Oryctolagus cuniculus: one gene and its partners. The protein of the gene in region 3 interacts with the protein of the main gene of each other region in a pairwise test. Links are inferred from orthologs where the notes say so. Each region holds a gene or a part of one and is shown on either strand. Other genes may lie near its edges. The genes, in order: CCHCR1, BFSP1, NUP62, KRT20, C7H1orf216, CCDC121 and KANSL1.

The links.
Region 1: the proteins of NUP62 (region 3) and CCHCR1 interact in binary tests that used the Homo sapiens proteins (3 or more experiments, as listed by UniProt). The link is inferred for Oryctolagus cuniculus from reciprocal best matches to the Homo sapiens genes NUP62 and CCHCR1.
Region 2: the proteins of NUP62 (region 3) and BFSP1 interact in binary tests that used the Homo sapiens proteins (3 or more experiments, as listed by UniProt). The two-hybrid records come from large-scale screens. The link is inferred for Oryctolagus cuniculus from reciprocal best matches to the Homo sapiens genes NUP62 and BFSP1.
Region 4: the proteins of NUP62 (region 3) and KRT20 interact in binary tests that used the Homo sapiens proteins (3 or more experiments, as listed by UniProt). The two-hybrid records come from large-scale screens. The link is inferred for Oryctolagus cuniculus from reciprocal best matches to the Homo sapiens genes NUP62 and KRT20.
Region 5: the proteins of NUP62 (region 3) and C7H1orf216 interact in binary tests that used the Homo sapiens proteins (3 or more experiments, as listed by UniProt). The two-hybrid records come from large-scale screens. The link is inferred for Oryctolagus cuniculus from reciprocal best matches to the Homo sapiens genes NUP62 and C1orf216.
Region 6: the proteins of NUP62 (region 3) and CCDC121 interact in binary tests that used the Homo sapiens proteins (3 or more experiments, as listed by UniProt). The two-hybrid records come from large-scale screens. The link is inferred for Oryctolagus cuniculus from reciprocal best matches to the Homo sapiens genes NUP62 and CCDC121.
Region 7: the proteins of NUP62 (region 3) and KANSL1 interact in binary tests that used the Homo sapiens proteins (3 or more experiments, as listed by UniProt). The two-hybrid records come from large-scale screens. The link is inferred for Oryctolagus cuniculus from reciprocal best matches to the Homo sapiens genes NUP62 and KANSL1.

What each region holds. Positions count from the first base shown.
Region 1 is NC_091436.1:139,335,688-139,339,822, forward strand, and holds the start of CCHCR1 (coiled-coil alpha-helical rod protein 1), read left to right. Parts: upstream 1-1,335; 5' UTR 1,336-1,849; coding exon 1,850-2,065; intron 2,066-2,725; coding exon 2,726-2,792; intron 2,793-2,872; coding exon 2,873-3,086; intron 3,087-4,135. UniProt on the Homo sapiens protein: May be a regulator of keratinocyte proliferation or differentiation.
Region 2 is NC_091442.1:42,516,199-42,519,698, reverse strand, and holds part of BFSP1 (filensin), read left to right. Parts: intron 1-284; coding exon 285-505; intron 506-2,617; coding exon 2,618-2,703; intron 2,704-3,500. UniProt on the Homo sapiens protein: Required for the correct formation of lens intermediate filaments as part of a complex composed of BFSP1, BFSP2 and CRYAA. Involved in altering the calcium regulation of MIP water permeability.
Region 3 is NC_091449.1:7,675,536-7,679,035, reverse strand, and holds the end of NUP62 (nuclear pore glycoprotein p62), read right to left. Parts: coding exon 1,968-3,500; 3' UTR 225-1,967; downstream 1-224. UniProt on the Homo sapiens protein: Essential component of the nuclear pore complex. The N-terminal is probably involved in nucleocytoplasmic transport.
Region 4 is NC_091448.1:21,693,988-21,698,033, forward strand, and holds the start of KRT20 (keratin, type I cytoskeletal 20), read left to right. Parts: upstream 1-1,246; 5' UTR 1,247-1,314; coding exon 1,315-1,725; exon of another isoform or gene 1,726-3,814; coding exon 3,815-3,897; exon of another isoform or gene 3,898-4,046. UniProt on the Homo sapiens protein: Plays a significant role in maintaining keratin filament organization in intestinal epithelia. When phosphorylated, plays a role in the secretion of mucin in the small intestine.
Region 5 is NC_091438.1:136,913,034-136,917,087, forward strand, and holds the start of C7H1orf216 (UPF0500 protein C1orf216 homolog), read left to right. Parts: upstream 1-1,254; 5' UTR 1,255-1,505; intron 1,506-4,054.
Region 6 is NC_091433.1:175,378,989-175,383,171, reverse strand, and holds the start of CCDC121 (coiled-coil domain-containing protein 121), read right to left. Parts: upstream 2,801-4,183; 5' UTR 2,611-2,800; coding exon 2,273-2,610; intron 1,678-2,272; coding exon 735-1,677; 3' UTR 1-734. Other genes in the region: GPN1 (GPN-loop GTPase 1), read left to right, coding at 2,862-2,972, 3,626-3,719.
Region 7 is NC_091448.1:17,042,002-17,046,114, reverse strand, and holds the start of KANSL1 (KAT8 regulatory NSL complex subunit 1), read right to left. Parts: upstream 2,801-4,113; 5' UTR 2,705-2,800; intron 1,151-2,704; 5' UTR 1,014-1,150; intron 1-1,013. UniProt on the Homo sapiens protein: Non-catalytic component of the NSL histone acetyltransferase complex, a multiprotein complex that mediates histone H4 acetylation at 'Lys-5'- and 'Lys-8' (H4K5ac and H4K8ac) at transcription start sites and promotes transcription initiation.

The DNA of each region.
Region 1 (4,135 bases), on a different chromosome or scaffold from region 3:
CACCACCTGCTGCACTTCAGGAATCCATCGGCTCTTCCATTGCCTGAGCCGGGGCTCGATCTCACTTCTCAGTCTGGTGTGCAGACGTGAGCTGGGCTGTGTGCAGTTTCAACCTGGAGCGCTACTTGGGCAGTGCAAACCCGGAGGAGTGCAGGCAGCTGAGGCAGGCGATGCAAAACTGGCTGCGAAGCAGATGTGCAAGGGAAAAAAAAAAACAGGGAGGACAGGGTGCAAGGGGCAAACTGGAACGCGTCCTCCCGCCACTCAGTGGAGCTGGATCCTCGGGCCGCCAGACATCCCGGGAGCCTCCGACCTGCGCAAGGCAAAGGTCACGTTAGGCAGCTTCTGGGGAAATGCAAATCGGAGGCGTGTGTGGGTGCTGCTACACGAACGGGCTGCCCCGGTGCAATTTGAAGACAAGCTTCTTCCTGTCAGACCTGCTTATCCAAAACAACACCCCCCTCCCCGTTCGCCCGCGCCCTCGCTCTTTTTGGCCAATCCCTCATTCAGAACTAGCTTGAACCCCGGGGCGGGGGGAGTGAATTCACTGTCACCCCCCAACACACACACACATACACGCAAAGAGCAGTGCAAACAGGTCCCTAGGTACTCCCAACAAAGCGGATCTAAACCTCGCTTCCCGGCTTCCTTCGGGTGGGGTAAATCAGAAGAAGGAGCTCCTGGCGAACTCGCGAGCGCTCGCCCTCCCGGCCCCAGCTCCGTTTCGGACCTACCTGCGCGGCGCAGTCTTGGAGCGGGCTCCTCTCCAGGCGACGCCAGCCCGAGCGGCGGCCGCAGGTCCTCTCGGCCTCCTCAGCTGGGCTAAGCGCTCGCACTGCAGTTTGACAGCCAGGAAGCCGGGGCCGGGAGGGGCGCGGTCTCGGCGCGCGGGCAGCGCAGACCCCTCCTTCGGAATTCCCGGGTCCGAACTTCGCGCCCAGAGAGCCCGCCCCCAGGACCGCGCCTGATTGGCTAGTTCTGTGACCCTCTTCCGCTCCATTGGGCGGCGCGCTGGGCGGGTCCCGCGAGCTCCCGCCTTCCGCTTTTTCTGATTAGCTCAGAGGTTTTCCCGGGTCCCCGGAGTGGGGCGGAGCGGCCAAGGCGCGCAGTTGCTTAGACGCAGTAATTGGGCCCAGCTTTAGGCGCCACTGCGCCTGCGTGCACCTTTGCTCCTTTTCCTTCCTGGACAAAACGGAGTTTCAGAGCGGCCCGCCACGCCGCCCGCCTGGCGCAGGCGTAGTCAAGGGCGGAGGCCGGGCGGGGAGCGAGGTGTGGTGGGTGTGACCAAGGGGCGGAGGGGGCGTTCTCGCGCTGAGTAAGGGGCGTTCGGGAAGAGTCGGTTGGGGGCGGGAAGGGGCTGAGACGGGGTGCTGGGGGGTGCAGGGGGTCACAGGGGAAGAAGGGTACAGGGGCTGGGTAAAGGAGCGGATGAGGTGGTCAGGACGGCCTTAGAATTCAGGGTCCTGCAGGGTGTGCAGGGTGAAGGTTGAGGATATCAGGGCACGGAGGAGAGAGAGCAGAAATCAGACTAGGGTGCTGGGAGACGCGAGCAGGCTGCTTGTTAGCTGGGAGATGAGGGTGAGGGTGATGGACCAGAATAATTCCTTCAGGAAAAAAGCAGACTAGAATGCAGGAAGGGAATCCCAGGTGGGGGTGAATTCGGGTGGGAGTGTGTGAGAAAGATCTTGAAGGGCCCACTGTGCTCTAGGACCCTAGAGAGAGCAGGTCCGCAGGGATGGACGCCGAGGGCATGGGCAAGAGGGTAGTTGCAAGAAAGATCTGGCTCTTGTGCGGGGGCATCTAGGCCATCTGGACTCCCAGGCGGTCCTGGGGAGGTGTCCAGCCCTACATGTGGCCACATTCATCAGGGGCCAGGCCTTGGGCCAGCGCTCTGCTGGGAAAGGACCCGGGAGTCATGGCCTGGTGGTGTCTGGGTGGGCTTCCCCAAGGCCTTGCCGAGCCGTGGCGAGAACTCTGGAGGCTGGGCTCGGGGCCTCTGCACGGTGTGCCTCCTTCGTCCTCTCAGGCCAGGAGCAGCAGGGACAGTAGAAACCTCAGGAGAAGGGTAAAGACACTGCCTGAGTCCTAGCAGGATGATCAAAGCCCAAAAGCTCCCCCTTGGCTCGTCCACCTCCTTGAGTTTTCTCCGCCTCCCTCCTGGTTTCTGCCTGAGTTTTGTTTGTTTGTTTGTTTTGTTTTTGTTTTTTAAAGATTTATTTATTTGAAAGAGTACACAGAGGAGAAGCAGAGAGAGAGAGAGAGAGAGAGAGGTCTTCCATCCACTGGTCCACTCCCCAATTGGCCACAATGGCCGGAGCTGCGCCGATCCAAAGCCAGGAGTGAGGAGCTTCCTCCAGGTCTCCCAGGCGGGTGCAGGGACCCAATGACCTGGGCCATCTTCTGCTGCTTTCCCAGGCCATAGCAGAGAGCTGGATTGGAAGTGGAGTACCTAGGACTCGAACCTGTGCTCGTAAGGGATGCCGGCACTGCAGGTGGTGGCTTTACCCGTTAGGCCACAGCGCAGGCCCCCTGCCTGAGTTTTGCATTAGGACAAGCAGGCAGTGGGGTGGGGTCTCATACTTCTTCCACAAGAGTGGGAAGAGGAGCTGAGAGACAGGGGAGCTGGCTGTAATTTAGCATTGTGACTTTGTTATTGTAGGGGCTTTCTCTTTGGAAGGTGACCTGAAAATTGAACTGGAGTGTCCTTGTTTCTCCTCTTGTCCAGGGGAGCATAGAAGGCTGGAGGCAGCACCTAGCGTCTTCAAGTCACATGGAGATGTTTCAGCCCTCAGGTCAGTGGGGCGGCGCAGGCGAGGGGCTGGCGGTCGCCCCCGCTGCCTGGGAAGCTGACTGTGCTCTTGTGGTTCCGCAGGTGTCTCTGGCTTGATCCCCCCCTCCCACTTCCAAGCCCGGCCCCTTTCAACCGTGCCAAGGATGGCTCCCACCTGGGCTTCAGACATTCCCCTCGTCCAGCCCCAGGCCCGTCAGGATGTGTCACAGAGGCGGCTGGACACCCACAGACGCCAAGTGACCCTCTGGGAGCAGGACGTGTCCGGTGACGGGCAGGAGCCGGGGCGGAGAGGCAGGTAGGGGACTGTTGCCACCTTGTTCTCAGACTCGCTTTCTCGTGGCCTTTCTTCACTGAAACAGATTCCATGGCCTGTTACAAACCCTGACTCAGTAACTTGTTCATTTTTACATGAGCAATTATTGGTACCCACATTGCGTAAGTAATAAGACCTGGGGATGGGGCAGAGAAAAATGAAGAGAGATCTGACCTAAACTTTGTCTTTAAAAAATATGTTTATCTATGAGCAAGGCAGAGTTACAGAGAGAGAGGCAGAGACAGATCTTCCATCCACTGATTCACTCCCCTAATGTCTGCAGTACAGCTAGGGCTGGGCCAGGCCGAAGCCAGGAGCCCAAAACTAAATCTGGGTCTCTCACATGGGTGGCAGGGGCCCACGAACTCGGGCCATCTTCCACTGCCTCCCAGATGCATTAGCAGGGAGCTGGATTGAAAGTGGAGCAGCCAGGACTTGAACCAGAGCTCGGTGCTCGCAGCAATGGACATGGTGGCCAGCCTTCTCCCACCCCTAACTTAAACTTGACATTGCTTAGGAATTTAAACTCCTAGAGGAGACAGACTGACCACGCGTAGTTCAGAGCTCGAGGAAGAAGTACTAGAAATAGGCCTGGTGCCGTGGGGTGTGGGTTTATTCTGATGGAGCGGGTACAGAAAGCCTTTTCAGAGGGCAGGCGGTTGAGGGGCTGGCTCGGCCGTCTGTGAAGGTGTCGTCTGCAAATGTCCTTGTTGTCTCCTGTGTGTTTTCCACAGTTGTACCGGTTTCATTCTGCCACTTCTGTCTACCATGAGTGGGAGCACATCAAAGAGGAGTGGGTACGAGGAAGAGGGAGCAGAGACAGACCTGCTGTTTCTGTTTGACTGTCTGCTAGGGGTCTTGTGCACCTCTTAATTTCCCTAGGCTGCTCCAGAGCGCTACTCTCTATTTATTTGACAGGCAGCGTGACAGGGAGGGAGGAAGGGAGGGAGGGGCACCGAACACCTGCTGCTTCACCTCCATAGTGGCCACAGCACTCAGAGGTTGGCCAGGCAGAAGCCAGGAGCCAGGAG
Region 2 (3,500 bases), on a different chromosome or scaffold from region 3:
CTTTTGGAATGCTGGCACTGCAGGCAGTGGATTTACCTGCTATTCCACAGCGCCAGCCCCTTCTGACCGCTTTTGAGGCAGGGCTGTGGTAAGGATGATCCCAGAGGGTGTGGATATTAATGCAAGGATGTGGGGTTCAGGTTCTGCATTCTGCTTGGGCTTAAGGATTGCAATGTAATTCACTGCTCATCTCTAACCGGCAGAGGCATAAAGCAAGTGCAAGTTCATGCCCGGGTATAGGGCGGGGTGGGATGGGTTTCCTCACCGTGTGTCTCGGCCCCTAGACGTCGACCCTGGAACAAGCTATCAAAAGTGCCCACGAGTGTTACGACGACGAGATCCAGCTGTACAATGAGCAGATTGAAACCCTGCGCAAGGAGATCGAGGAGACGGAGCGGACCCTGGAGAAGTCGACCTATGACTGCCGGCAGCTGGCGGTCGCACAGCAGACCCTGAAGAACGAGCTGGACCGGTACCATCGGATCATCGAGATGGAAGGCAACAGGTGTGGCCACACAGCTGTGATGAGAGCGTGCACCCCGCTCCCCACCCACAAATCTTTGCTGAGTGCCTACTAAGTGCCAGGCGCTCCCTGACCTCAGGGAGCTCGGATGCTGGGGGCCAGGGAGACAGCGAATGAGTGAGCTCTCTGTGAGCTGTGACAGGTGCCTGGGAGGAAAGGATGGCAGGAAGGAGGGGAGTGGTGGGGATGCTGGGAGTCCGAGTACGGTAGGCAGAGGGCCTTACTGGGAGGGCTGCTTCGTGTCCCCGGGGCTCTGGGCTCCTGAGCGTCCTGGTGGGGAGGTGGGTGACCAGGAGCATTTGCTGAGAGGGCTGCTTCGTGTCCCCGGGGCTCTGGGCTCCTGAGCATCCTGGTGGGGAGGTGGGTGACCAGGAGCATTCTTGAGAACCTGCAGGTGCAGCGCCTCCCATGGAGCCTGGCGTTTGGTGAGTGCTCGGATGCTTGAGGGTTATAGCTGCCGCCATCATGATGAGTGTCACCTGCTTGGTCAGAAGTGTGGCTGTGCCTGTGCCGTCTGGTCTCCTCCCTGATCGAGCTGTGACTGGAACCCCACTCACTGCAACACAGCTGGGACATCTATCTCCATCTCCCTCAGCTCTCTCTCAATCTGTCTGTATCTCTCTCTCTCTCTCTGTCTCCACATCTGCATCAACAGCATCTCTGTTGTCTACACTTACAGCCTCTACGTCTGTATCAACTGTAGCATCTCCATTTGCCCCTATGGCTAAGTGGGTTTTCCTATCTATGGGTACGCAGTGGAGAACAGGTTGGGTATGAAATCAGGATTCTTTTGTTCAGTCTTGCTGGTTTTCTGGGGTCAGACTGAGTTAAAATAGAAGCCCCTCCCCCCCAAAGTGCCCCACAAAGAGAAACTTTTGTTCACTTTGGGGCTACAAAGGCTTGGGCGTGTATCGGGAAAGGCAGTGTTTTCCTTTCCTTTGTCTAGTTATGGGCAGTGCGTCTCGCACGATTCCACGTTGCATTCATGACACAGGGAACGCTTGGTAGGCACCTCTATGAGAATACGTCCTGACCTGGCTCTGAAATAACCGTATGAAAAATTTTGCTTTGGAAGCAGGGCATTGGAAAAAGGTAGCTGGACGCCCCTACCCTTTAAATAATTTTTTTCTTCTTTTTCAAGATTTATTTACGTACTCGAAAGGCAGAGTTCAAACAGAGAGAGGGAGAGACAGAGAGAGGTTTTCCATCTGCTGGTTCACTCCCTAAATGGCCTCAATGGCCAGAGCTGCACCCATCTGAAGCCAGGAGCCAGGAGCTTCTTCCAGGTCTCCCATGCAGGTTCAGGGGCCCAAGGCCTTGGGCCATCTTCTACTGCTTTCCCAGGCCATAGCAGAGAGCTGGATTGGAAGTGGAGCAGCTGGGACTTGAACCGGCGCCCATATGAGATGCCAGCACTGCAGGCGGCAGCTTTACCTGCTACACCACAGTGCCAGCCCCTGGCCTCTCTTCTTTACACTCTCTCTGGTCTGTAAGTGTATATAGGATTGATTATCTGCTGAAAATTATGTGTGGGAGTAGGCGTTGGCCTAGGGCACCAGAATTACCTGGAGAGCTTGTTAGACCATTCCTGATCCCAACTCCGGGAATCCACTAATACTTTTCTAAAAAAGGAGATGAAGGAAAAGGGGGCGGAAATGGGGGAGAAGGGGGCAGTGTTTGGCCTGGCACTGACACTGGTTAAGATGCCTGCATCCCACGTTGGAGGGCCTGGGTTCAATTCCCACCTCCGGCTCCTGACTCCAGCTTCCTCCAGTGCACACCCTGGGAGGCAGTGGTGATGGCTCAAATACGCAGGTCCCTTTCACCCACCTGGGAGAACTGGATTGAGTTCCTGTGCTCCCAGCTTCAGCCTGGCCCGGCGCGGGCTGCTGTGGGAATTTGGAGCTGAATCAGCAGATGGGAGCTTTGTTTGTCTCTCTGCCTCTCAAATGATAAAAAGATTTTAAAAAGTTGTGTGTAATTCTTGAGCCATTGCATCTGGAGAAAGCTGTGTCCATTTTCACTCAGTGTTGGAGTGTCTGTGTTTGACTCGATGAATTAAGACGGTGCCACACTCTCTGTGTTTCGTACCAGGCTGAGCTCTGCCTTCATTGAAACTCCTATCACCCAGTTCGCAGCGAGCCAGGGACCCCCTCTCAGCCTGGGATCCAGCGGGAAAGGTAATGATACCCATGCTCCCCCCTCCACACCTTCCCTCCACTCCCCTTCTTCTCTCATCCTCTTCCTCCTCTTCATTCTTCTTCCTTGTGTGCAAAAACCAAGTGGTTTTCTTCCTGACCTTGACATTCACACTGCCTTCCAATTCATCTGGAAACTCCATGTTCCTACCTGAGGGAGGTCTCCTCTTCCCCTCCGGGGCATCCTCAGTATTATCCCCTTGGATGCAAACTGGCTGAGCCACAAAGTGTTTTAAGGAGAAAATGAGCTGGGTATTCACGAATGTGAGGCATTAACTTGGGGGAAAGATACAATTCAGGGTTCACTTCTTGTTTCTTCCAAACTATTGAGTTATAGGAAGGGTACTTCAAAATGTTTATGGCAAAATGGAAATAAAAGATAAGTTTATTTTGGTGCAAAAAATTTTGCAATCTATGCATGGTTTTTTCTTTTTTCTTTAAGATTTATTTATTTACTTGAAAGTCAGAGTTACACACACAGAGAGAAGGAGAGGCAGAGAGAGAGAGGGAGAGAGAGAGAGGGAGAGACAGAGGGAGAGAGGTCTTCCATCCGCTGGTCCACTCCCCAGTTGGCCACAACAGCTGGAGCTGTGCCGATCCAAAGCCAGGAGCCAGGAGCTTCCTCCAGGTCTCCCACGCGGGTGCAGGGGCCCATGGACTTGGGCCATCTTCTACTGCTATCCTAGGCCATAGCAGAGAACTGGATCGGAAGAGGAGCAGCCGGGACTAGAACCAGCGCCCATATGGGATGCCGGCACTGCAGGCAGCGGCCTCACCCA
Region 3 (3,500 bases):
ATCCAGCTCTCTGCTGTGGCCTGGGAGAGCAGGCCTTGGGCCCTGCACCTGTGTAGGAGACCGGCAGAGAGCACCTGGCTCCTGGCTTTGGATCGGCGCAGTTCTGGCCATTTGGAGTGAACTGGTGGAGGGAAGACCTTTCTCTCTGTCCCTCTCACTGTCTGTGGCTCTATTTCTCAAATAAAATAAATAAAATCTTTAAAAATAAAATAAAGGAAAGCAACTGAGTTTTACTCATGTTTAATATGTGAAACGGGAGTATATACACACGCACACCAGGGAAGCACGCTTGGGATGGCGTCGTGGCACAGGTGCCAGCCGCTGCCCGTGCCGCCGGCATCCGGTACCCATGGCACTGCTCTCTGCTCAGTGGGAAGGCAGCTGGGGTGGCAGCAGATGGTGGCCCAAGTGTTGGGGTCCCTGCCACCCAGGTGGGGGGGGGAACCTCTCCCTCTGTCACTCTTTCAAATGCATATATTTTTTAAATGCCCATTTTTTTCCCCCTAGGAAGATTGTGTGGCCTTTGACAGGGACAATCTGAGCTCGCGGGCTCAGTAACATTGCTCCACGGATGTCGAATGAAAAAACGCAGGCAGGAAACAGACCACTTTTCTAGGGCAGGAGCGCGGGCCCTCCCCGTGGTCAAGGCCGGGAGAGGGCAGCAGCGCTCACGGAGGCTGGCGGGGTCTTCCTCCTCCCTGTTCTGTGGCTGCTGCCTGCAAAGTTGTGTTGGCCTTCAAGGCCCCAGATGGTTCAACGTAAACAATGACTTGTGATCTTGACCTTGGGAAGCTTCTAGAAAATGGGCCACAGGGCTCCGAGGTGTGAGCCATGGAGCGGGTGAGGCCAAGGGGCCGGGACCCCCGTCCCCAGGAGGAGGGAGAGCTCCCAGCAGCTGGCCGGGCCGCACCTGGGAGTCGCCTCTCCGCCCGAGCCCTCCAGCTAGCCCCAGCGGAGGAACGGAGGCTGCTCCACCGGGGCGAGGGCAGGCAGTGCGGTGCCAGCGCCCGCGTCACCCACAGGTCAGCACAGACCCAAGACTGTTCGCGCCTGTCGGCCGGAGGGCGCCAGCACGGTGGCTTCTGGGAGCTGCTCGCTCTCGACCGCCTCACCCTGACGTTACACAGGCACGGCAGCTGTTCATGTTTTTATTCAGGAAGGCGACACACAGCGTGGCTATCGTAGAGAATGCAAAGCACACACACAGGACACTGGGCGGCGACACGGGGACCTTGGCGGGGCTCAGGGCCCCTGCGTGGCCACCGCGGCCACCGCAGCAGGCAACACGGTGGACCAGCGCTACGCCAGGTTTCATCTTCGTCCTTTGCTCATTCAGCAAAGCTGACTGGGACTGTGCTGGGGACAAAGGGGGACAGAGTCAGTCCCTGCCCCCGGGAGCTCAGTCTACCAGTGAGACGGGGGCCAACAGTCGGCACAAGACGCACAGCCAGTCCTCCCTGGCACAGGCTCAGTGTGCCATGGGGCCGGCCGGGGCGGCGCCCTGGAAGAGGGGAGGCCCGAGGGCCCACCTGGACGGGGAGCGGGCACAGGGAAGCCCCCCGGGCTTGGGCCTCGCCTCAGCTGAGCAGCCCCTCCTTGCGGGGAGCAGTGTGTCTGGGCGGAGCGCACGGCTTAAACCCCACACGGGGCAGAGGGCAGCCTGCCCACCTCAGCACTTCCACTGTGCTGGGCAGAGCGGCCGGCGGCAGCCTCTCCTCTCCGGCCTCAGCGCCTCTGTCGGGGGAGGGCGAGGTGGGTGGCAGTGGGTGAAAGGGGCCAAAGACACAGGACTCAGACACAGAGCCGCCCACCGGCTGCTGCCCGCCCGCCCAGCGGCGCTCGGGACACTTTCTACGCATTCGCTGGCGGGCAAAGTCAAACCACAGAACACTTCTCTCCACAGCACAATCGCTTCAGAGAATCGGCCCCCCCGGCCACCAGGGAGCGCCGCGGCCCCGGCCCGGCCGTCAGTCGAAGGTGATGCGGAAGCTGCGCTCCTGCTCCTTGCGCCGCCCCTCGCACACCTTGGTCACCTCCTCCACCTTCCGCTGCAGCAGCGCCGAGTTCTGGTCGATCCACTGCAGCGAGTCCATGTGCGCGTTGAGGATCTTGCAGATCTGCTGCAGGGGGTCGCTGGTGTCGGCGGGGCCCCCGGACGTGTTCAGGTGCTCGATGATGTCCTTGAGGTCCTGGGCCATGCGCTTGAGCTGCGCGTCGATGTTCTCGGCCAGCTTGTAGGTCTTCTCGCGCTCCTCGTCGGCGTGCTGCAGGCACACGGCCCCGCTCTGCTCCTTCACCCAGCCCTCCAGCGGGCTCAGCAGGTCCTCCAGCTCCTTCTGCTGCGACAGGATGAAGTCGAGCTCCTGGTCCAGCCGCTTCTGGTCCAGCTTCACCTTCTCCACCTGGCGGTGCAGGCTGGTGATGCGCTCGCCGTTCTCGACGAGCGTGCGGTCCCAGGCGTTCACCTGGGTGGCCTGCTGCAGGAAGTGCCGCTCCTGGTCCTCCAGCTCCAGGCTCCACTTGTTGATGAGGCTCTCCAGCTGCGCGTAGGTCATCGCGGGGCTGCCGGCCGCCCCGGTGGCTGCGCTGGGGGCCGCTGGAGCACTCGCGGCGGCCGTCGTGTTGCTGGGGACCCCGGCCGGCGCCAGAGGTTTTAGATTCAAGGCGAAGCTGGTGGTGGTGGTGGTGGTGGTGGTGGCAGCAGCGGACGTCACCGTGGAGGTGCCGGCAGCTGCTCCAGGGGCCTTCAAGGTGAAGCCCAGCGTCCCAGGCGCGGGCGCCGCGGCGGTGGTCGCTGGGGCACCGAGGGAGAGCCCCGTGCCGGTGGATGAGGTGGGAGCCGCGGCTATGGAGGCAAAGAGGGTGGGCCCAGCGTTGGAGGTGGCGGCGGGCGTGGGCGCGGCCGGCTGGCTGGGCCCTGCCCCCGTGGCCGCTGGCGTGGCTGCGGTGAAGGGAGACCCGGTCAGCGCCGTGGGCTGGGTGGCCGAACTCCCCACGGAGCCGATGTTGAAGCCAGACGTCCCCGTCTGCGAGGAGCTTCCCCCGGTGAAGGAGAACCCTCCGGATGTGGTGGCGGGGGCCGCAGGCGTGGTGGTAGAGCCGAACACAAAGCCGGTGGGAGCTGTGCCCTGGCTGGAGGTGACGGTGCCCGACGTGGCACTGGTGAGGGTGCTGCTGCCGAGCCCAAAGCCACTGGGGTTTGCTGTGGCTGAGGTGGCCGCCGTGCTGCCCAAGTTCAGCTTCGGGGCGTTGAGACCTAGGGAGAAGCCGGTGCCTCCGGAAGCGGGAGTCGTGGTGCCAAAACTGAACGCCGGGGTCTGGGCTGCTGGCGCTTGGGTCGTGAGAGAGAACAGCCCGGTGGAAGGGGTGCTCGCGGCCGCAGGGGAGGGAGTCCCAAAATTAAACCCGCCAGAGCTAGACGTAGAGAAAGAGAACCCCGTCGCCGGCGTGGTGCTGGTTGCTGTCTTTGCGGTACCAAAGGTGAACCCGCCTGTGGGGGC
Region 4 (4,046 bases), on a different chromosome or scaffold from region 3:
TTTTTCATTTTTTGTACTCATTTGCTTGTTTGCTTACTTTAATCATACACAGCCCTCAATTCAACTGAAGTTATGGATATAAGAATTAACGAGATATTTTCTGTGACTTTTCCAATCCTTTCTAATTAACTTGACTTAGGAAGCCATTTAAATGCTTCAAGGGAGGGGTGGATTTTCAGCCAGGGATTTGCATAAAGGGGAGCAAATGAATAAGCTGCAACAAGTGTTGAGTGAGCACCTGCAGCCAGCTCCCCACAGGTGAGACTGAAGCCCTGTGTTTGGAGGTGGGCACACATGCAGCCACCCCAGCCCAACCCTGGAAGCTGGGTGTAGCCCCAAGGCACCTCCCACACCGCTTCCTCTACACGGAACCGCTGGTGCTGTGAGTGTGGGGGCCTGCAAGGAAGATCAGGTTTCTCCGGAAGCTTCTGCTACTGAAATCTGCAGGGGATTCTAGAAGCACCTCTGGGTTCAGGATGGATGGAGCAGAGTCTGTCCAGACAGGGCACACAGCACCTCCAGCTGCCAGGCCAAGTGCACAGCCTGTGCTCTCTATGCTTCTCAGAAACAGGACAAAAGTCAGATGCTGGCTGAAAATTTCCAACATATTATCTAGTCGCCAAAATTAGAACTTAAAAAAAAAATCTCCAAAGCCTCCAAAATCATGTAGTCTACCACTCATCAAAGTTCCTTTAATTCACTTCCCTAAACCAGTCTCCAAGTGTCTGTTTCACTCCTGTGGGTATGTTCAAGATACGGCGCTTTCACAGAATATGTTAATAGTATTATAAAATCTCTAAACAAGGATAAGCTAAAATCCAAAAGGCGTGAAATGGAGGTTCTGGTGGCTGATACACTCCGCCACACAACAAGCTACTGTCCTGTCCCCAGTGTGACTTACCGTGAGGGCCCTCATCTGCCTGCTCAGATAGCTAAGTTCTGCCTGAGGACTGTAAAGATTCTTGATGTGTGCCCTGGGAGGAGGAGAGCCTGCCAAGGCAGGTGCGAGGGCTACAAGAACACACCTTCCTGCTGCCTTCTGTCAGCTCTGTTTGAAAAAGGCAATCATCCCTGAGAAACGCTTCTATGAAATGCTCCTAGTGATAAGCTCTGGAGTGGAATTAAACATACTGCTGTTTAAAGGGGGCGGGGGGGGGACGCCATACAAGGCAAGGTGGACTGTCAGTCCTGGGGTGACAAGTCAGCAGAGGAGGAGTCTGCTGTAAAGTGCATAAAAGGTCAGCTCAGCACCTGCCGGGAGACAGACTCTGCTCCAGCCTTCCTGAAGCCTCCGGTGCCCTCCTGGTCTCCCCAATGGATTCCAGTCGCAGAAGCTTCCACAGAAGCCTGAGCTCCTCCTCACAGGGCCCTGCACTCATCATGAGCAGCTCCATATACAGGAAGGGGGGCCTGCAGCCCCTTGTGGCTGCACCCAGTGTTTATGGGGGGGCTGGAGGCCACGGCACCCGGATCTCAACCTCCAGACAGTTGGCGAGCTATGGGAATGATCTCAGTGGTGGCAGGGATCTGTTTGCTGGCAATGAGAAAATGACCATGCAGAACCTAAACGACCGTCTAGCCAGCTACCTGGACAAAGTACGGTCCCTGGAGCAGTCCAACTCCAAACTCGAGGCACTGATCAAGCAGTGGTACGAAGCCAATGCACCCAGCGGCAGTCGTGACTTCAGTGCATACTACAAGCAAATGGAAGAGCTGCAGAACCAGGTGAGGTGCGGGGCCTGGAGAGCACTGTGGCAGGTGGAAGCAAGCAGACCCTGTAGAGCAGGTGCGGCTGGAACGCTGCCTCTGTAGAACAACCCTGAGTGCTGGGGCACCTACCTGCCCGAGTCGCTCTAAACCATACTGCTTTTAAATGTTTTAATCTAATTACATATAACACAGGAGCATTTTTCTTCCAGTCTTATATTGTCTATCTTTGTCACACTTTATTGTATCAGCTACAGGGATAGTAAACTTTTTTCCTGAAAAGAGCTATTTATATGTGATAATAAATTATTGTTCAGTTTCTCACCTCATCCCCATCAAGGTTTGAAACCCCAGTCAACTCAGAGACTTTTCTTCTTTCACTGATGTAATATAGGTATTAAAATACCAGAGTGCTCAGGGTAGGGACAGGGGGAAGGTGTACTTCTGAATAGTCCTTGGGTTTTTAAAATTCTCTGTTTAATCATCTGACCATCATCACCAAGCAGTTCAGAAAGTACTTCTGCATTAATAATCTATGGCCCCCAATTGGAATTTATTGCAATCATATCACAGCTGGCTCCCACATCACCCAAGAGGAAGCTGTGCATTTTATCAAGCGCATGAAATAAAAGCAGAAGACTTTGCTCCCTGCTGAAGATTTCCTATATGACACGGAGCACTTCCTTTACTTTCATTCTCTTATTTAATCAAGAAAATTCCCCTTTCATTTTCATTTCTATTTTAAGATTCATAACCCTTTAGAGCAAAGTTAGCCCCCAGCGAGTCTCCTGCTCTTGGGCTGTAGTGGCCATCAGTGTGATGAGTCAGACCCCACAGGAAGGCATTGTGGGATTCCAGGAACGAGGGGCACACAGAGTCGCAGGGCTTACAGTGCTTTCCTTCTCAGGCTCTCACCACAAACCAGTCAATCTCCCGTACCTATCTCTGACTCACGCTTCTGAGTCTACCCCGGGTCACCTCAGAGGCACAGGCACAGCTATCGGTTCCACACAGTGGGCAGACCCAGCATGGGAAGGCCCTTTGCAGGACCGCAGTCACAGAAAGAGGCCCGTAGCTGGAACCTCTTCTGATTCACTTGCGTCTGACAGAAGTCACTTCATTAAACACTTCTAAAGATGCAGGACTGGCGTTTGGCCCAGTGGTTAGAATGTCCATATCCCATACTGGAGTACCTGGACTTGACTTTGACCCTGGCTTCTGACTCCACCTTCCTCCTAATGCAGAGACCTTGGCAGGCACCAGATGATAGTTCAAGTAATTGGGTTCCTTCCACCTTCATGGGTCACCCGGATGGAGTTCTTGGCTCCCAGCCTCAGCCATCACAGGCATATGGGGAGTGAACCAGTGTATGGGATTCTCTCTCTCTCTCTCTCTCTCTCTCTGTGTGTGTGTGTGTGTGTGTGTGTGTGTGTGTCTGTCTCTCTGTCTCTCTCTGCATCCCTCCCTGCATCCCTCCTTCTCAAATAAGTAAATTGTAAAGTTTTTAGTCCAGGGCTTACCTGCCCTGATATCCCCAGTGCCTCATCATATAACAAACATTCATTCCTTCATTGAGCCAAAACTTAGTCAACACTAACCTGGTGCTAGGGAACTTGTGGTGAACAAAATGTGACTTAGGAGGAAACAGGCATGGACGAAGCAACTACACAGAGGATTAAGCACTGGCAAGAAGGGCTGTGTAGGGCAACAAGGGCACAAGCAGATGCCTCCACACCACACTGACTAAGCTGAGACAAGGAGGGGAAGCAGGGATTCTCCAGGTGATGGGGGCTAACGGGGGCGTTCTACGCAGGAACCACACCAAAGGCAAAGCCCTCGGTCAGATCTGATGACACAACAAGAATGAAGATCTCCCTTTGTAAGATCACAGGAAAGCAGACCCTACCCTGGGGACTGCAGTAGTATTTTGATTCAGGTACACTAAGTACCCACGTTATCATTCTTCCTGTCAATATTTTCACATGAAATTCTTGACCTGAACATCATTTTTACTAAACTTGTGACAGTAGTTGTATCTGAGGATAAATCCCATCATTTTTAACTCCTATCCAGTTGGAAACATCCTTCTTTCTCGTGTGTTTTCCAGATTAAGGATGCTCAGTCACAAAATTCCCAGCGTGTCCTGCAAATTGACAATGCTAAGCTGGCTGCTGAGGACTTCAGACTCAAGTAGGTTCCTGAATGCCATGGTGGAACTTTCCAGAAAAGAGTCCCTCTCAGTGGTGCTTCATGACACTCGGCTCCCCATATTATCCTTGCTGAATTTCCTTATTACGCTTCCAGAATCTTACCGCTTTGATGGTGTGGGAAGTACTCAG
Region 5 (4,054 bases), on a different chromosome or scaffold from region 3:
ACTACAAGGAGGAAGGGAGTGACAGGGATCAGGGTCAGTGAGTGGAACTCTGACAAGCTACTCCAGCTTGGGACCGAGGACTTTCTTATCCAGTTACATCTGTGCACATGGGCAACTGCACAGGAACCCACTGTGCAGGCGCCACGGAGGGCGTCTGTGCCTAGCAGGAATTCTCTGCAACCTGAGCTCTGTCCCAGGGGACTCTTTCTATTTTTTTTTTAAAGATTTATTTATTTATTTGAAAGTTAGAGTTACACAGAGAGAGAAGGAGAGGCAGAGAGAGAGAGAGAGTGTGTGTGTGTCTTTCATTCCTGCTTCATTCCCCAAGTTGCTGCAATGGCCAGAGCTGCACAGATCTGAAGCCAGGAGCCAGGAGCTTCCTCCGGGTCTCCCACGTGGGTACAGGGGCCCAGGACTTGGGCTATCTTCTACTGCTTTCCCAGGTCATAGCAGAGAGCTAGATCAGAAGTGGAGCAGCGGAGACTCGAACCAACACCTATATGGGATGCCGGCATTGCAGGCGGTGGCTTTACCCAATACGCCACAGCATATTAAAAAAAAAAAAAAAAAAAAAAAAAAAAAGTAGCCTTCAGTCTGGCTTTGTGGCGCAGTGGGGTAAGCCCAGGCCTGCAATGCCAAGATCCATAGGAAGGCTGGCGGAGTCCCTGCTGCTCCACTTCAAATCAGGCTCCCTGCTAATGTACCTGGGAAAGCAGCAAAGGACGTCCCAAGGGCTTGGACCCCTGCCACTCAAGTGGCAGACCCAAATAGAGTTTCAGGCTCCTGGCTCCACCATTGTGGCCACGGCCATTTGGGGGCTGGATCTCTTCTCTCCCTCTCTGGAACTCTGCCTTTCAAATACATAAATAATTTTTTATATGGGGCGTGCACTTTTTAAATTTTTTTTTAATTTATTTGACAGAATGATAGTGAGAGACAGAAAGGTCTTCCTTCCGTTGGTTCACTCCCCAAATGGCCGCTGAGGCCCCTAAATAATTTTTTAAAGTAGCTTTCATTAATGATGAATCAGATGTGCACACAATTAATATAAAATTCCAGATTTTGATCAAAGGAACATAAGTGCTCTGAGATGATACAAAGCGGGGGACCAGTCTTGTCTCGGGGATCACAGAAGGTTTCTCAGATCTGAAATGTGGGGAAGCCTAGCCAGGAGACAACATTTCAGGCAGAGGCTGCGGTGCGTGCCACAGCCTCGAGGAAGGAGGGGCCCAGCGAGCGCCGTTAGGCGACAGCCAGACCTGGAAGGCCTGGCCTTGAGCAGCCGGCGCGGGGGAGGCGGCTGCGGCGCAGGGGCCCCGCGCAAGGCTCCCACGCAGAACCGAACCGGCCCACGTGGGCCGCCCCAACCCCGCCCCGCCGCGCAGACGCCGCCAGCAGCCGCAGTCCGGGCCCGGGCCGCGGGAAAGCCCGGGCGAGACACCCCCAGGCCGAGCGGGGCGCGCCGGAACCAGAGCCAGCTGCGCCGGAGCGGGCGCCTCCAGGCCGTGAGTCCGGGCCGAGGGGGAGGACTGGGGGCCCCGCCGCGGGGGCCGGGGGCTGGGGGCTGCAGCCCGCGCCCAGCGGCCCCTCCGCGGAGCTCTGCGGGGACGGCCTCTGCCCTATTCCCCGGGGGACGTCTCCGGCAGCGCCAGGAAGGAAGGGCGGCCGCCGCTGCTCCCGGCCCTGGCAAATTGCGGATTAACTGGGGGTGGGGCCGGGGTCTGATCCCCATTTTACTATCGCTGAGAACCCAGGATCCTCAGCGCCACCACCAGCCCATTCCAGCCTGCTTAGGAAAAAGACTCGGGGGAGGCTCCAGGCACCTAAGTGCACACTTTGGTGGGAGGCCTGGGGGTCCGCAGGTCACCGCGGGAATCGTTCCCACTGGATCCTTCCAGGCCTTCTGCCCTCTCCCAACTGTGGGAAGAGCCTGTGCCACCTTAGGGGTCCCCCTGGGGCCTGCTGCCCTTACCTTGTACCCCTTAGTGACCCTCCGGTTTCCCTGTCCTGGGAGTAAGTGTGTGGTCGTGGTCGGGAGAAACCTCTTCTCAGTTCAGACCGGGATTTTGGTGGAAGCCCTGCTAGGAAGAGGGATGCCCTTTGCACTCCCTCCTGGAACTCCGGATGGGGCAAACTAGGGCCAGGATGCAGGTGGTGGGGGAAGAGGGATGGCGCATCGGGCGTGGCACCTCAGTGCTTGCTCCAGGAGCGTGATGGGGGGAGCTGGAGGAAGGCATGAGGAACTGTGTTTACATTTATTAAGGGCGGGGCAGATGGAGGGGGGATTCTCAGGCAGGCCTCAGAGCATTTGCCGGGTGGAGAGGGAGGAGCTTAGAGGGGAAGGGAGAGGCAGGCACTGCAGGCCAGAGCCATAGTGGAGCGCAACAATAGTGGATCTTGAGCTCCTGGAGCAGTCGGATGTGATGGGAGGCAGGGTGCGGGTGCTCAGGGCCATTAGGCCATGTAGATCTTTAAGAGGAGTTCAGGAACAGTACTCACTCAATTTTTAAATTTGCATTTTAAAATTCATTTATTTATGGGGCTGGCATTGTGGCATAGCGGGTAAAGCCACCGCCTGCAGTGCCAGCATCCCATATGGGCGCTGGTTTGAGACCCGGCTGCTCCACTTCCAATCCAGCTCTCTGCTGTGGCCTGGGAAAGCAGTGGAAGATGGCCCAAGGCCTTGGGCCCCTGCACCCTCATGGGTGACCTGGAAGAAGCTCCTGGCTCCTGGCTTCAGATTGCCACAGCTCCGGCCATTGCAGCCATCTGGGGAGTGAACCAGCGGATGGAAGGTGTCTCTCTCTCTCTCTCTCTCTAACTCTGCCTTTCAAATAATTAAATAAATCTTTTTTAAAAAATTCATTTATTTATTTGAAAGGCAGTGACATGGCCGGCGCCGCGGCTCACTAGGCTAATCCTCTGCCTGCGGTGCCGGCACACCGGGTTCTAGTCCCGGTCGGGGCGCCGGATTCTGTCCCGGTTGCCCCTCTTCCAGGCCAGCTCTCTGCTGTGGCCAGGGAGTGCAGTGGAGGATGGCCCAGGTGCTTGGGCCCTGCACCCCATGGAAGACCAGGAGAAGCACCTGGCTCCTGCCATCAGATCAGTGCGGTGCGCCGGCCGTGGCGGCCATTGGAGGGTGAACCAACGGCAAAAGGAAGACCTTTCTCTCTGTCTCTCTCTCTCACTGTCCACTCTGCCTGTCCAAAAAAAAAAAAAAAAAAAAAAGTCAGTGACAGAGAGAAGAGAGAAATACCAATCTTCTGTCTACTAGTTCACTCTCCAAATGGCTGCAACAGCCAGGGCTGGGCCAAGCTGAAGCCTGGAGCCAGGAACTCCATCCTGGTCCCTATGTGAGTGGTAGGGGCCCAAGTACTTGGGCCATCTTCCACGGCCTTCCCAGATGCATTAACAGGAAACTGGATTGGAAGTAGAGCAGCTGGGACTTGAACCAGCTTTCTGATATGGGATGCCAGCATTGCCACAACAGCTTCACCTGCTGTGCAACCACGTTGAGCCCCCAAATTTACATGTTTAGCCACAGGAAGAGAGATTAGTGAAAAGGCTGTGGCACTAGTCCAGGTAAAAAATGGCCTGAGCCAAACGAAATTGAAGAGGAAGAATTGTCTGAATTTGGTGATTGATAAGAGATGAGGGACGGAAGGAAAATGCTTATTCCAGGATGCTTCCGGGCTCTGGCTGGGGTGGCTGAACAGGGAGCAGAGCCGTCTTGCTGAGGACACGAAGATGGGAGCTGGCTGGGACTGGGAGATTTCCAGGGGCCTGTGGGTGGCTGCAGGGCTGGGTAACAGTTGGATCTGGGCTGGAGACAGATTGGAGAGTTACCAGCATATGATGATTCCCAAAGCTGCAGCCCACAGCCGGGTCATCTGGGGAGAAGCGTGTAGAACGAAAAGGCAGCCTGCCTCGGAGCGCTGAAAAACACGCTGTGCAGGCTACTGCAAAGGAGCAGTGAGGGAGGTGGGGACCAGCAGGGGCAGTGCGAGCCCAGCCAAGGGGAGGGGATGACAAGGAGCTGCCAGGCGTGTGCCTG
Region 6 (4,183 bases), on a different chromosome or scaffold from region 3:
AAGTCCAAATATTTTAAAACTTTTTTGATAGGTTTTCCTGAAACAGGCATTCAATCACTTCTTTAATGCTAAAAGTGTTTCTTCAAAGAACATTTCACAAAAAAGAGGCAACTTAATAAATGTCACCATTCAAATCCTCTTACCCCCTTAATGTATTCAAAGCTGAAATTTTTGTAGGGGTTCATCATCAGATTTCAAAGGTCATTCAACCTAGCACTTAGTGGGCTTGCTGTTATCAGAGTACTTTTTCAACTGGCGAGGAATCTGTAAAAGAAGCTACCCACCCACTGGCCTACACTTAAAAAAGAACTTAGAAACACTTCATCCTTGTCTGCTGATTTGGCCAAAAGGAATACAAGTAAACTGATCCGTGTTATTTATACAGCAGAAAGCTCTATTCAGTGAAATGCTGTCCTTAAAGGTATTTTCTCTATAAAGAAATCTTAACTTGGCTAGATGAAATCACACACCCCAAGTGGGTGTTTCTGAACTTGCTGGATGTATGGGGTGTTTCGGAGATGGTGAAACAGGTTGGGCTATCAGGTATTAGGTTAACTGGAAGTCTGAAAATTGTGTTTATCAACATAAGGTAGTTTTTTAAAATACTGCTTAAAGGAAGCCGGTCACCTTACATGACTGCACCTAGTCTTTTGTACCAACACGTATGGTATTTTACTACAATCTGGAATTCAAAAGCCTTTCCTAACAGGTTTGCTGGGTACGTATTTGAGGAACTACGGGGGGTTTATCGTTGATGCGGCGCCCAGGGGAGGCCTCGGTGGTGCCTGGGGGACACCCTGTCCTTTAGGGCACCCATGGCGTCTTTCTTGCAGCCGTTGCCTCCCACGGAGCATGCTCTGCACAAGCCACTGTTCCTGCTCCAGCTGCTGCTTCTGGCTCCTTAACTGGCTTTGAGTAGCCTCTAATTTCTGGGATTGCCGCATTAGCTGCCAGCATTCCTTGCGTAGCCGCTGGTTCTCTGCCTGGATGCCGTGGCAGAACTTCACCTCAGCCTGCTTTGCTGCCGACCTCAGGGCCTGCGTCTTCTCCCTGAGCGCCCTCCTTTCTTGCTTTCCCAAGTGCCTCACGTCTGGCTCATTCAGCTGCTCCTCCAGCAGGGCCTTTTCCTTGAGGAACTGGGCGTGTTTCTCGGCGGCGATCTGCGCTTCGATCTTGTTTTTCTCCTCCTGTAATTTCTGGATTTGTATGTCCTGTTTCTCCTTTAACAGCGAAATGTCTCTCAGATCCTGCAGCTGCTGCTTCAAATCGGCTTGTATCTTTTTCTTCTGCATGAGCTCTGCTTTAAGCACTGCAGACTTCTTGGCATATCTGGCGGCTAACTTCTGTCTCCCCCTTTTAATCTCTCGACTTTCCTGTATGTACTCCGTCCACAGCTTCACGGGCTCCTTCGCCAGCTCTTCCGTTTTCTTGGTCAGGTACTCCAGAAAGAACCTGTTTTCCGCCTGGAAGTGTAGCTCCTCCTCGTGCAGCTGCCTGGTGTCCTCCAGTAACAGCTGCTGCTGGGCTCGGGCTGCTTTAATCTGCGTGTCCAGCTCTCGCACCTTCGCCATTCTTCTTCTGATGCGCATCTCCGCACTTGTTAGCTTCTGGGGCTGGAGCAGATTATTTATTAGACTGAGGTACGACGGAGGGGAACTCCTGGGACCTTCGGCAAACCTGAAGGGAGAGCCCATGAGACGTGCCTCTGTCAGTTCTTAATGCAAATTTAAGCAATCATAAAAGATGCACAATTGTCCTTAATTAATACAGCGACTATTTACTTATTTGAAAGGCAGATTTCCCATCTGCTGGTTCACTTCCCAAATACCTGCCACAGCTGGGGCTCCATCCGCATCTCCCACGTGGGTGGCAGGGACCCAAGTATCTGGGCCACCAACTGCTGCCTCCCAGGCGCATTGCAGGAAGCTAGACTGGACGTGGAGTTGGAACTTGATCCCAGGCATTCAGATACGGAATGCTGGTGTCCCAAGTGGCAGCTCAACAAGTATTTTGGAGACCTACTACGTTCCAAACACTCTGCAAGCCACGGGAAATACAACCAGGGTTGAAGATGCTGGGGGTACCGCCGACAATTTGCAATAGGCATTCCCTGCAACCCCGCGGCGTAGTGTCCGTTTTAAAGAACAAGAAACCAGACGGCTGACCAGTGGCAGCGCCTGGGTATGAAACCCAGATCGTCGGACGCGGGACGGTGATGGGGAGCGGGGATACTTCTCGGGCTCCTTCATCCTCTTTCCGTGGCCGCACTCACTTGCTCCTGGAATCCAGCTGTTGACAGCGGTAGCTGCGCAGTTCTCGGAGGGTGGTCGCCGAGGAGCGCGCGCTGACGTCGGGGGTCGTGAAGGCGGAAAGGTCTTGCAGCTGCTCAGTCTGCGGCTCGACGGGTCTCCGCGCTGCCCAGCACCCCCAAGCGTCCCATTTAGCCCCCGCCCCGGTCAGCCCAGCCCTGAGCTGTTTAATCTCCTCGGGTGCCAAACAAGCTCTAGCAGGCGGCAGACCAGCGTCTTCGGTCCTAGCTCTTTGGGACCCCAAAATGAGACGTACGCCCCTCTTTTTCGTGTGGTGGGGGTTCGGCCCTTGGGAGCCCATCTCGTCTCCCGCTCCGAGGAGCCAGCGACGGGCAGTGCTCCTTTTTCGGCTCCGCTAGCCCTCTCCTCTCGCTTCTCTGCTCCCCTCACTTCTCTCCCGGCGTCACTAGCCCGCCCGCAGCAGAAACTCGGCACCCGCTGGCCGGCGCCTCTCGGCGGCGTTCGACTCTATTCTCCGCCCAATCTAGAACGTCGCGGAGGCCTCTCTAGCCACGCCGCGCCTCTGTGGTGAGGGGCGGGGCCTGAGCAAAGATGGCGGCGCTCGCGGCTGCGGCGGAGCCCCAGGCGTCCGGGGGTCCTCGGCCCCCCGTGTGCCTCTTGGTGTTGGGGATGGCGGGATCCGGGAAAACCACCTTTGTCCAGGTGACGCACACTGCGCGGGCGGGGTAGGGCAGCGCGAGAGGTGGTGGCGGGCAGAAGGCCAGGGAGAAAGCGACGGAAGTCCGTGGGGAGTTGGAGGACACCGGCGCGTGGTTTTCAGGGACTTCACCGAACTCCGGCTGCTTCGTGGGCTGAGGCATAGCGGACCCGCGCCTGTGTTCATTGAAGCCCTCTTCTGTGCACACTTGGTTCGACTTACCACGTTGTGTTGGAACTGTTTGCTGGGGAAGTTGCCAGCCTCTCGAAGGCAGACTCACAAGGCATGGAGTAGATAGATTCGGTGTTAACCCATTGGGTTTCGGTGAAGATTTGCGAAAAAAGTTATTTCTGGGGCCCCTCTCATGTTCCAGGCATGGGGGATACGGAGAAAATGCGGTTGACAAGGTTTTTACTTTCATGGAGGAGATAGAAAGATACTCGCCATATGGGTTTGCAATACAAGTTAATAAGTGGGCAAGAGTAGGGGAGGCTCTGTCAGGTGAGTGATAAGGAAAAGTAGCGTTTGAGCCGAGATTTGATGTTGGAAGCAGGGTGGATATTTCGGGTGGCTGGAGGGCGGTGGGTGAAGGAGTGGAAATGCCCTTCCTGATCACCCCCTCCTCCTCTCCCTCCCCCTCCCATCTTCCTGTCTGCAGCGGCTCACTGGGCACTTGCACAGCCAAGGTTCCCCGCCCTATGTGATCAATCTGGACCCGGCTGTGCACGAAGTCCCCTTTCCTGCCAACATTGGTGAGTACACTGTGCCCTAACGCAGAGAGGGGAACGCCTCCAGCCTGCCAGTCTTCAGGGACTTTTTTTATTTTCTGAACTTCGTACTTTTATCTCTCTTGGATGTTCTTCAGTCCCTAAACAGGCTTCTTTATAAAACATTCTCCTTTTTAAACACTGGCCTTTATCTAACGCCCAGGCTAAAGCTAGGAGCCAGGAACTCCATGCTGGCCTCCCATGTGGTGGCGGGGACCTAAGTGCTTGAGCCATCATCTGCTACCTTTTAGGTTGCTCATTAGCAGGAAACTGGATTGGAGGTAGAGGTGGGACTTGATCCCAGGCCCTTCCATATGGGGGGTACTTCCATATGTAGCACAGTCCCTTACCTGCTGCCCCACAGTGCCTGTGTCCCCCACCCCCAAGCTTTTTATACCCCAAATACAATAAAAGACCACATATTAAGAGGCAGAGATCATGGGGCTGGT
Region 7 (4,113 bases), on a different chromosome or scaffold from region 3:
AAGAAGCCACAAGAGAACCAACACATCGGGGGCCGGTGCTATGCCTGAAATGCCGGCATCCCATATGGGCGCCGGTTCTAGTCCCAGCTGCTCCTCTTCCGATCCAGCTCTCTGCTATGGTCTGGAAAAGCAGTACAAGATAGCCCAGGTCCTTGGGCCCCTGCACCCATGTGGGAGACCCGGAAAAAGCTCCTGGCTCCTGGCTCCTGGCTTCGGATAGGTGCAGCTCCGGCCGTTGCAGTCATCTGGGGAGTGAACCAGCAGATGGAAGACCTCTCTCTCTCTCTGCCTCTCCTCTCTCTGTGTAACTCTGACCTTCAAATAAATAAATAAATCTTAAAAAAAAAAAAAAAAGAGAGAGAGAGAGAACCAACACATCAATGAGAGCTTCTTCATTTAAAGGACATCTGTCCACTCTGCCCAAATAAGGTTTATCCTGTGAGATGAAACTTGGCCCAAGTGCCACCTGTTGAGAAACAAAGTAAAATCTCACGCAAAAGAGTAGGAGAAGCAGGAGGACTCTCCAAAGAGCTGCACACCCAAGCCAGTAGCTCTTAGAATGTTCTAATACTCCATATGAAGTTTCAGAGTAAACAGTTAATGACACATCTTTTGTAACACATGAATCAGCTACTGATTTGCAAGAGCAGGACACACCCTAGCACCCATGACTTTAAAGCACCTATTTGAAAGTGGACCTGAAGGTGGAACCCATCCCACTAGGACTAGAGCAGAATTTTACAACTACATAAGTTGTCACAATTTGAAGTTAAAAAGATGAACACATCATTATAATGGGAGATAATCCGAGACCTTCATTAATACTTTAACACCAGTAATTACAAACAGTAGCAACGCAAGGTAAGGAGTAACCAATCACTCCTGCAAAGCAATCTTCAAAGGGAGCAGTGACAGGTAAAGGGACTGAAGAACAGCAACTTCAAAAACCAGGATATTCTCCACTCTTCACAACACTAACGAAATGAGGCTGATGAGAGAAACACACATCTTACCTTAAGAGGCACCCGAATCGCATTCATAGTGTCAGAAGAGTTCAGACAAGATTCAGAAATGAGCAAACAGGGAGTCAGTGATCCCCTCAGTCACCAGGTAGGAGCAGGCAGAAAAACTTCCTGTTTTGAGAAGTTACCTAAAGGAGAGAGCTCTCAGTTAGACTAAAAAATAATACGGAATATGCAAGTAGTTTAAGCTACTTTTATATATATATATATATATATATATACACACACACATATATTTTTTTTGTTTGTTTCATTCATCCCAAAACACAGTACTCTTTGGAAAAGGGCAGATACTTGCATGTAAACATACTTTACCTGAAAAGACAAAGGTATGACATTTTAGAAAATATATAATTGCTTCTCAAAGAATCAGAAAACCAAAATCCAAGAAAGGGGAAAAAAATTTTAAGAGTACTTCATACACATTATGGAAAGGTGATTTGTTAACCACCTAAAAAAGGATCCTTACCATATTTAATTTTATATAGTAAATTAAAACTCCTCTTGATGATTCTGACCTAAAATTCTGAGCTTAAATTAAGTTTCAGAGCTGATTCTACATAATAAATAAAATCTATTGACCAAAGTACTACAAACAAATAAGGCACTTCTTCCCAGGAGATCTTTAAAGGAAACCCTTACAACTTCATTCTAGGATGAGAGGTGGCAAATCTGCCTGGAGACAGGAGGATGGACTAAATGACCTCTTGTAGGATCCTACAGTTCAAGTCCTAGGCCTGAATGAAATTCCAGCTTAACCAGTTACTGCTTCGCTTAAAATGGAGGCTTGCCCGAGTAGGGACAAAAATAACAGCACTCACCTCTTAAAAAAAAAAAATAAGGAAAAATCAAAGACTAAAGTATCCTCATTTCAAAAATAAAAACAAAAAGGCAAACCCTCCGGAGCGGGTCTGTTCCGGCTATGCCTCTGCACTTCGGCTTCGAGGACTTGGCATCACTCTCCGCCCCGCTCACCGGATCTGGGGGTGCCGGTGGGGGCGGGGTGCGAGGAGTTCGACTCTGGACCCAAGTCTCGGGCGGGGTCCGGACCCCTCTGCGAACCCCCCTCCCGGGCGGCGGGAGAGGAGAAAGGGGAGAGCCCGAGTTCTCACCCCTCCCCCACCGCGGACCCCAGTCCCGAACCTACCCTCCGCACCTTCCCGCAGCCGGGCGACCCCTCCGGCCTGACCCCCATTGTTGGGGAGGGGCGGATGGGCGAGGGGGCTCCGGGCAGGGGCGCCCGCGGCCGTGGCCCCGGCTCGCTCCGGGAGGGGGCGGCCCGCGGGATGCAGCTTCCCTTCCTCTCCGCGTCGGTCCGTCCCACCTCGGCTCGGCCTGGCGCCCTGGGCTCCCTCGCTGCCCCCGGCCCGGCCCACCCCCCGGGCCGCCAGGCCCTCCGGCAGCTCGGCCAGCAGCCCGCGGTCCAGGCCTACCGGTGGGCGCGGGGTGGGGGTCCCTGTGCCCCACACACGAGTCCCCGCTCCCCCAGCCCAGCCGATTCCAGGGCCCTCGGCGGAGCCCGTTCCGCGGGCCCCTCGACCCTTCGCCTCCCGGCCGGGCCGCCCCCTCAAAGCCCCCGGGTCGTAGCCGCCTTCCCTCCCCCACCATCACCCCTACCCACTCGTGCCCCCCACCCCCCGGGGCACCAGTGCCAACGGCAGCTCCCCCAGCCCCGGACCTACCTGCACGGCTCAACCAAGCCTAGAGTGGGGGCGGGGAATCTTCCGCCCTCCTCTGTCTCTCATTGGGCCTTCCGGGGCTCCTCGTGGGCGCCATTGGTCGAGAGAGGGTGTCCATCAGAGCGATGGGGCGGGACAGAGAGGGGAGAGGGATGCTGGTGCTTCGGCGTCTCTGTCTCTGTGTTATCTCGCTGTCTCTGTCTCTGTCAGGGCCCTTGGAAACGAGAGGCTTTTGGACAGGAGCTCTGGAAAGGGGCCCTGAGGTGGGAGGACTGGGAATCGGGAATCCCAGCGGTGCTTCTCACCAGTAGGCCACTCTGAACCCCCTGAGTCCCCTTGAGGTTCTCCTCTCCATCACCCCCAGCCCCTGCCCCTCACCCCTCTGGGTTCTTCATCCAGGAAGCGACGTGATGAAAACTCGAGGCCGGAAGGCCATAGGGAGAGATTTTATATATGAATCTCGAATTCGCACATATAAATGTTTATATGTAAAGCCAGTCACGTATACGGCTCCAAGGGCCTGGAGAGGGACACATCTTTTACAAACAGGGGAGGACTTCAGATAAAACCGATGGAAGAAGGGATCAAAAATCACTCCAGGCTGGCCACGGTGGTTACTTCCCGGAGGGCAGCTCCAGTGAGCAGGTGGGAGAAAGGCTTCCAGCTCACTGTATGGCCTTTGTATCCTTTGCTACTTTTAAAATCATTCATGAACATCCTAATTCTGAAAAAAAAATTTTTAATTGATTTAAATTTTTAGATAATCTGAGGTTGAGGTTGCAAAACCTGGAAATGGGGACAGCGTACAGATTTGGGGAGGAACCTTGGGTTTCAATATGTTCCATTCCAAATACCAGGGGTTAAGTGAGTGAAGGTGTCCCAGAGACAACTAAAGTTACAAACTTTGAGAGAGCATGGGCAATCTGGCTTAGAAAAGATTTAGAGCTCTCTGCTCACCACATGATAATGCCCAGAGTCTCCCCCACACATGTAAAAAGACACCACAGTTAAAGTCAGGAGGGTGAGAACGAAGGTGAAATAAGAGAAACAAAATATTGATGACACATGAAAGTTAAGGGAAGAAGCGTTTCTGGGAAAACAGAAATAATTGGGGCTGGTGCTGTGGTGCAGCAGGTTAAAGCCCTGGCCTGAAGTCCCCTGTGGTCACTGGTTCAAGTCCTGGCTGCTCCACTTCCAATCCAGCTCTCTGCCATGGCCTGAGAAAGCAGCAGAGGATGGCCCAAGTCCTTCGCATCTGGAGAGTAAACCAACAGATGGAATACCTCTCCCCACCACCCCCGTGTCTCTACCTCTCTTTTTTTTAAAAGTCTATAAAAATAAATTAATTAAAAAATAAAAATAATAAAACTTTAAGAGCCTCGTAGGTTTTGAGAATCAATACAGGGACACTC